Sus scrofa: one gene and its partner. The protein of the gene in region 2 interacts with the protein of the main gene of each other region in a biochemical or structural test. Links are inferred from orthologs where the notes say so. Each region holds a gene or a part of one and is shown on either strand. Other genes may lie near its edges. The genes, in order: ANG and RNH1.

Region 1 (2,606 bases), on a different chromosome or scaffold from region 2:
TCATTAATTTGTTAGTATTTAGTCCAAAACTCTTCTTCCTAAGGCTGAGCATTTATAAAAGTAATATTGTCTTATTAGGTGACAGTAAAACAATTTGCTCCTCCTAAAAGTTATGCTTAGTGGCCTTGAGCCCTGGAATTTAACAGTTTTACCTTCACAGAAAGGTAAAGTCCCCCTCCCTAATGCCTGATAAGGACCTCACTGATAAGGAAAAAGGCGTTTCTATTCCATCTAACACTCAGGCGGCGGCAGCTGAATAGAGAAAACGTGGAAAGAATGATAGGCCAAGAATCAAAGAAAACTTTGATTCTTACTGCTTTCAGACATGTTTTTATTTATTGAACATATTGTAGAACAGAAAATGAAAGATCAGACACCTTATTTTCTAGACCACTGGCAATGAATCTTGCCACCACTATTCGGTGGAAGGCTGGTGGCGGGGGCTGGAGTAGGCGTGTGGGGGTGTCTGGGGGATCCAAAGCAAGGAAAGAAGAGCAGAGCCAGATCTGGGCTACTGGCTTGTAATGATAAAGGACTCATCAAAGTGGACAGGCAAGCCATTTTCACAGGCAACAGCTATGGTTCTGAACCCTGCTGTGGCCCTGTACCCACATGGAGGCCGGTTGGACCCTCCCTTATGCTTGCAAGTGGTAATTTGGAAAGGAGACTTGCTTCTTCTGAAATTGTTGTAAGGCTCTCCATTCTTATCATTACAGATGGCCTTGATATCATTCCTCGTGCCATGAATAAAGGTGTTGACCTCTTTGCAGGGTCTGGTCAGGCCTCGTTGCTTCATTATGCTTTCACAGTATCTGCCATCCCGGCCCTTTGGTTTGGCATCGTAGTGCTGGGTCAGGAAGTGTGTGTACCTGTCTTCATCCTTAGCCAGGCTCAGCGGGGCCAGACCCAGACCCAGCATGAAGACCAACAGCAGGGGGCCCAGCAATATCACCATCTCTTCCAACAAAGGCTCCTGCCAAGGGCAAAAGGAGAAATGGTAGGGGCACTGAACAGCATGGCCCAAGGCGTCTAAAGGGTCAGGGACTTTTCTCTCTGGCAGAGCATTATGAATCAGGTATCCTCCAGCATCTAAATATATCTTTTTTTTCCTTTCCTCATTAGTCTCATGTGTCTCGTCAATCAATTCTTTCGGAATGTCTATTTACAAGTTTCCTAAACACGACATACAGTCCCAATCACTCTTTTTAGCCCTTAGGGTCACTGAGAATTTACCTATCAGTTGCAGCATTACAAAATCCATTCACATTCTTTAATTCATTTATTAACTAATGTACTTATTTATTTTATTATTTTTAAAATTTTATTTATTTATTTTGCTTTTTAGGGCTGCATCTGTGGCATAAGGAAGTTCCCAGGCTAGGGGTCAAATCAGAGCTGTAGCTGCTGCCCTATGCCACAGCCACAGCAACACCAGATCCGAGCCTCATCTGTGACCTACACCACAGCTCATAGCAATGACGGATCCTTTATCCACTGAGCAAGGCCAGGGATTGAACTCGCATCCTCATGGATCTTAGCTAGGTTTGTTAACCACTGAGTCACAAAGGCAACTCCCTTATTTATTTATTTTTGAAACCAAATTTATGTTTACCAAAGGGGAAATGTGGGGGGAGGGATAAATTAGGGAGTTGAGATGGATATATACACTCTACTATACATAAAATAGACAGGTGACAGGACCTATTGTATGTAGCAGAGGGAAATCCACTCAATACTGTGAAATAACATGTATGGGAAAAGAAACTGAAAAGAAATGGATACATGTATACACATAACTGATTCACCCTACTATATGCCTGAAATTAACACAATTTTGTAAGTCAACTATATTCCAGCAAATCAAAAGAAAAGAAAAGAAAGACATATTGGTCTCTGCCCCCAGTTCCCAGCACAGGGCTTCTGAAACATCTATAAATTCCTAAAGATGAGCGCACTTGGAGCATCTTTGGTTCTAATGAGGCAATTGGTGGGTTCCTGGAGGCTCCTGGATGGGAGCTGGTCACTAGAGAGACCAAACTATTAACTAATTTAATAACAAACTTTACACAAACCCCTACTGGGTACCAGCCACTGTGTGAGGTCCTGGAACCCAAAGACCATTAAGACACACCAAATTCCTCCCTAATAGAGGATGTAGCATCCATGGGGAAGGGATGGGAGCAGCAATTTGTTGAGATGAGACTGAGTTAGATAGGAGGGGAGAGATCTGAAGAAGAGGACTTTTAGAGAAACTTGAACCCAGGGAAGAGGGTAATCAGAGAACAGATTCCACGTATCTATCAATCACTCAGTTAACTGTGAAGAGAACAGTGAGAGCAGTTTCAATCTGCACGAAAGGAAGCAGACCGAAGTCCCCATGAAGTAGGTGGTTCTTGGCCAGAGGTGGAATTATTACATCCTGCTTAGAAAGAACAGGGAGGAGCATGGAAGGGTCCACGTAATGCTGGGGAGTGGGTCCAGGGGCAACTCCTATAGAGGACTGGAGGAAGAGGAATTGAAGCTTATTCTAAGGAGCTTTTTGCCTTGGGAATAATTTGGATAATTCTCAGAGAATATTTTCCAGTTTCCCTTGCATACATGCATAG
Region 2 (4,503 bases):
AGCAGGGCCCGGGGCGCCAGGAGCCCTCTCCGCGCGGCGTCCGAGCGGCCCCCGCCGGGCCCCGCGCTGACCCCCGGCCTCCGGACACATGCGGAGTCTCGGGTGGGCGCGGAGGTGGCCCTGGAGCCCGGCGCGCCGCTGCCCCCTGCCTCTCACGGGTAACCGTGCTGCGCCGAGCGGGGGCGGGCCGGCGACGCGGGCGCTGCCCCCGGGAAGGCGGAAAGACGCGGCTCGCACGCCGGCGCCGCTCCGCGCTGAGGCCCATCCCTTCTGGAAGCAATTAATGGGGCCTTGTTGAGACCCTGGCCCGGTGCCTGGGCCTAGGGAGCGGCTCCGCTGGTGGAGCTCCCGGTTCTCAGCGAGGCATTGGGCTAGACACGTGCCTGTTCCTACCCAGACCGGGTCCCCTAACTGGTGGCTTGTGAGGATGGTTGTACACGCAGCACCTTTGGAGGATGTTAACTTTTTCACGGACCCTCAAAGGGATCAGTCACCAGGAGGCTCAGAAGTGTCCTCCTGGCCCCGAGGGTCAAGCAAAGGGGAGCCCCGGGGCCTAGTCGGGTCTGTGGTTCTCTACCCTGGACACTGCGTCCCCTAATGTCACGTGGGATTCAGGGAGAGGGCGCAGCTCCAAGGGAGCTATTGGGGCTGGAGATCCTAAGTGGATCCCCCCCTCAATGGGTCGGAACCAGCGAGTCCCCCTCCTGAGCCTTTCCGGTGGTGACTGAGGATTCTGAGTCAGGGTTTGGGTGACCACGCCCTGGGTCAGGAAGGGCAGGGCCGGGTGGCCTCTGCCAGTGATGGCTGTTGACGGGCCAGCTACCTCCGCCTTGGCCTTGGTTTCTCAGCAGGCCCATCCGTTAGGATGAGCAAGCCGGAGTCTTGCTGTTGGTTGGCAGCAGGGGTCTCCTCCACCCAGCAGGACTGTAACTTCAGCCTTGGCCTGGGGTGGCCCTCCGCCCTGCTGTGGGCTCCCAACCAGACGGGGGTGCGGGGGGTGGGGAAGCCCCCCTTTAGCAAGGCCTGGGCCCGCCAGGCATGGACGCAAACCTGAGTGAGGTATCATTCTCAGGAATCCAGGTTTCAGGGGCTGAGGGGGAACCCCCGGGGGGTCTGAGTCATCCTGTTGGAGCCTGGGGTCGCTGTGCCCAGGCAGAGCCTTTACTTCCTACTTGCTTCTGAATGAAGCCCTGCCCCCAGGCACTTTCCCCGCCCCAGCACCAGGCTGCCCGGGGGTTCCTCTCCCGCTGGCCCCCTGCCTGGGGCCCTGGTTCCTCTTTGGTTCAGGCTCCGTGCTGGCCCAGGTGAGGTTTCAGGGCCTGTGATCTCCCGTTCCAGGCCTGCCAGCCAGACGTCTCACTCTTTTCTCAGCCTCCTTGGTGAGCTGGCGCAGAGGACCTGCCCTGTGTGGGCGATCATGGAAGCAGACAGCCCCAGTGGCCACCCAGAGTGCTGGTCACTGGACCCGTGGCCCCACCCACCTGCTCTGTCCCGTCCAGGGCACCTATTGTGGCGCCCCTGGGAACGGTCACCTGACCACAGGCACCTGCCCCTCCCATCCGCTGCTCCAGGGGTGAGGCCTCAGGTGCCGGCATGCTGGGAGGGGGTCTGGCTTTGTGGCCACCTGGCCGGTGCAGTCCTCCGTTCTTAGAGGGGAGGCTGCGCAGGCACCGAGTTTGCTTAGCACTTCCCGGATTGAGGCCCCTGTGCCCACCTGCCTGGGGTCTCCACACTGTCCAGGCCCACAGCCCACCCCCCGCCGCAGCCCAGGCCAGTTGGAAGCAGAGCTTTGGGTGGCGAGTGCTGGTTTCAACTTCCTCCCAGGCAGGAGGTGCCGCATAGGCCGGGTGCGGGGCGCTGGCCGCTGAGAGAGGCCTCCGTCTGTCCCCAAGCCCTGCCGTCCCTGGTGGTCTTTGCTGGGGGGCCCAGTGGGCACAGCGTCCCTCTGCCCACCCCTGTTTTTGCTCCCAGAGGCTGGCGTGGATGAAGGTGCTGCAGAACGGAAACGAAGCAGCAGGGCCGGGCTCTGGCTTCTGAAATGTTGGCCCCTGGATCCTGTTTGGAACCCCCCACCTTGTCTGCGGACCTCTGCCCAGTCCAGCCTGCGCTGGGCTGACACGTTCCCCCCGCCTCTGTCTAGGAAGCACCCCACCTCCCGGCATGAATCTTGACATCCACTGCGAGCAGCTGAGCGACGCCCGGTGGACAGAGCTCCTGCCGCTGCTCCAGCAGTATGAGGTGGTCAGGTAGGAGCCCCCAGGCTGGCGGCCCCGCGGCCAGCACCTCCCGCTAACATCAGTTACAGCGGCGCGATGTCAACTGTGGGGTGTCTCGTGTGGCACGAAATACTACTCTTTTTGTCCTTTTTCCACCCATTTGAATGTGTGTTCCCCCTTGGTCCAGGCCTGGTGAGCAGGGCAGGGGTCTCCAGCTCGTCCCCTGGCTTCTGCTGTTGAGGGTCTCAAACCGAGACTTTCCTCAGGGCTCGGAGGCAAGAGATGAGTGCTTGCCTGCTTGCTTCTCTTTTTAACTTATTTGAAAGTTGTAGGTTGGCCGAAGCATCGTGAAAGCGGTGCAGGGGCCCCTGGGTGCCGTCACCCGGGGCGCCGTTCCAAGCAGAGTCCAAGCTCACGTGCCCAGCTTTTCCAGGTCCTGCAGACCCCTGGTCTCCAGGGTCCCTCCTTGTCCTTGGCCGCCTGCCTCTGGAGTCCGCTCGGGCTCTGGCACCCGAGTCCCTCTGACATGGTTGAGTCACACGTTCATGGCAAAAAGCTAACAGCCACGTGCTGGGCTGCCCGGCATGGTGTCTCGTGGGCTCTGTCATCACAGCGGTGCCACACGCTCACCCCCGTGGTCCCCTGTGACCACCTGGTGAGGCGGTGCCCGCCAGATGTCCACTGTAGTTACTGGGTTCCCTCTGTTAGTGACAAGCGCCGCCTTGCGAACCGCCTTCCAATTCTGCCGACACCGTTTCTGCGCAGACTGTCTCCTGATCTTTGCGTCCATCGGGGGTCTTGCCAGGGCAGCATCACCGGGCCTTTGCTCCGCTGGGCGTTTGAATCTCTTCATTCCGTCCACGTGTGTGGACTGTCGTTCTGTAAGGGCGGGCTTTGCCCCCTCCTGTGTTGACTCGGTTTTCACTTGATGGGGCGGCTGTGGTCCTGGGGCCTGCTCTGGTATGTTCCATGCTGGCCGCGCTGAGCCCTCTAGGTGGGCGCTTCCCTCTGCAGCGCTGGCTCGTCCAGGTGGCTTCTCTCCTGGCGGAGAGAGCAGCCTGCACCTGCCGACCGCCCCGCGGTCAGACGCGTTTGCCTGCCAGGATCCTGGAGCTTTTCTCAGGTGACCCCCGTGCTTTTTCCGTTGGGCTTGAGGTGTGTTGGCGGTGACGCACCTCGGCGGGTCCCAGCCTGCCGTGTGAAACGCCCGTCTGTCCGCAGGCTCGACGACTGCGGCCTCACGGAGGAGCACTGCAAGGACATCGGTTCTGCCCTCCGGGCCAACCCCTCCCTGACCGAGCTCTGCCTCCGCACCAACGAGCTGGGCGATGCCGGCGTGCACCTGGTGCTGCAGGGCCTGCAGAGCCCCACCTGCAAGATCCAGAAGCTCAGGTGAGCCTGCCAGCCCTTCATCCCACCCCGGGCGAGGCTCGGGCCCACGGCAGCCCTCCTGTCCTTCCTGGGCCCTTGGGCGCGTCGCGGCCGTGTCGCAGCCCCTCCTGCAAGGCCCGGCAGCCTGGCCTCCCCACGGGCGGGGGGCTGTGTCCGCCTCACCCGGCTCCTGCTGAGGGCTGGCCCGCCTTGCGTGGGAGCCCCGCTGACAGCCGCACGCTCCAGCCTGCAGAACTGCTCCCTGACCGAGGCGGGCTGCGGGGTCCTGCCCAGCACGCTGCGCTCCCTGCCCACGCTGCGGGAGCTGCATCTCAGCGACAACCCACTGGGGGACGCCGGCCTGCGGCTGCTCTGTGAGGGGCTCCTGGACCCCCAGTGCCACCTGGAGAAGCTGCAGTGAGTGTGCGCCCCCTTCCCCTAGCTAGGCAGCCCCCCGCCCCAGCCCCTGGGTTTTGGTTGAGGGTCTGCCCTGGGCGAGCCCCCTCCCCCCTCACTGGCTGCAGGGAGCTTGGAGGAGGGGGCTCTTGGGGTCCCACAGGCACTGCTGCTCCCTTTGGGTGTGCGGATGGGGTTGGCCGCAGAGGAAGGAAGCCTGGCAGAGGAGCCTCAGGTCTCTCTGCGGTGTCTCTGGGCTCGGCCCCCGCTGTGCCATCCCCGCCCGGCAGCCCGCCGGCCTCGGGGCCTCACGGCCAGGGTGAGGCGCTGACCGCCGGCCCGTCCCCAGGTTGGAGTACTGCCGCCTGACGGCCGCCAGCTGCGAGCCCCTGGCCTCGGTGCTCAGGGCCACGCGGGCCTTGAAGGAGCTCACGGTGAGCAACAACGACATCGGCGAGGCCGGCGCCCGGGTGCTGGGCCAGGGTCTGGCAGACTCTGCCTGCCAGCTGGAGACGCTCAG

The links.
Region 1: the proteins of RNH1 (region 2) and ANG are reported together in a solved structure, tested with the Homo sapiens proteins (3 studies listed by BioGRID and IntAct, with this or other methods). The link is inferred for Sus scrofa from reciprocal best matches to the Homo sapiens genes RNH1 and ANG.

The regions. Positions count from the first base shown.
Region 1 is NC_010449.5:78,249,166-78,251,771, forward strand, and holds ANG (angiogenin precursor), read right to left. Parts: upstream 976-2,606; 5' UTR 974-975; coding exon of another isoform or gene 956-973; coding exon 512-955; 3' UTR 511-511; downstream 1-510. UniProt on the Homo sapiens protein: Secreted ribonuclease that can either promote or restrict cell proliferation of target cells, depending on the context. Endocytosed in target cells via its receptor PLXNB2 and translocates to the cytoplasm or nucleus.
Region 2 is NC_010444.4:283,479-287,981, reverse strand, and holds the start of RNH1 (ribonuclease inhibitor), read left to right. Parts: upstream 1-1,579; 5' UTR 1,580-1,593; coding exon 1,594-1,831; intron 1,832-2,140; coding exon 2,141-2,246; intron 2,247-3,437; coding exon 3,438-3,608; intron 3,609-3,833; coding exon 3,834-4,004; intron 4,005-4,332; coding exon 4,333-4,503. UniProt on the Homo sapiens protein: Ribonuclease inhibitor which inhibits RNASE1, RNASE2 and angiogenin (ANG). May play a role in redox homeostasis. Required to inhibit the cytotoxic tRNA ribonuclease activity of ANG in the cytoplasm in absence of stress.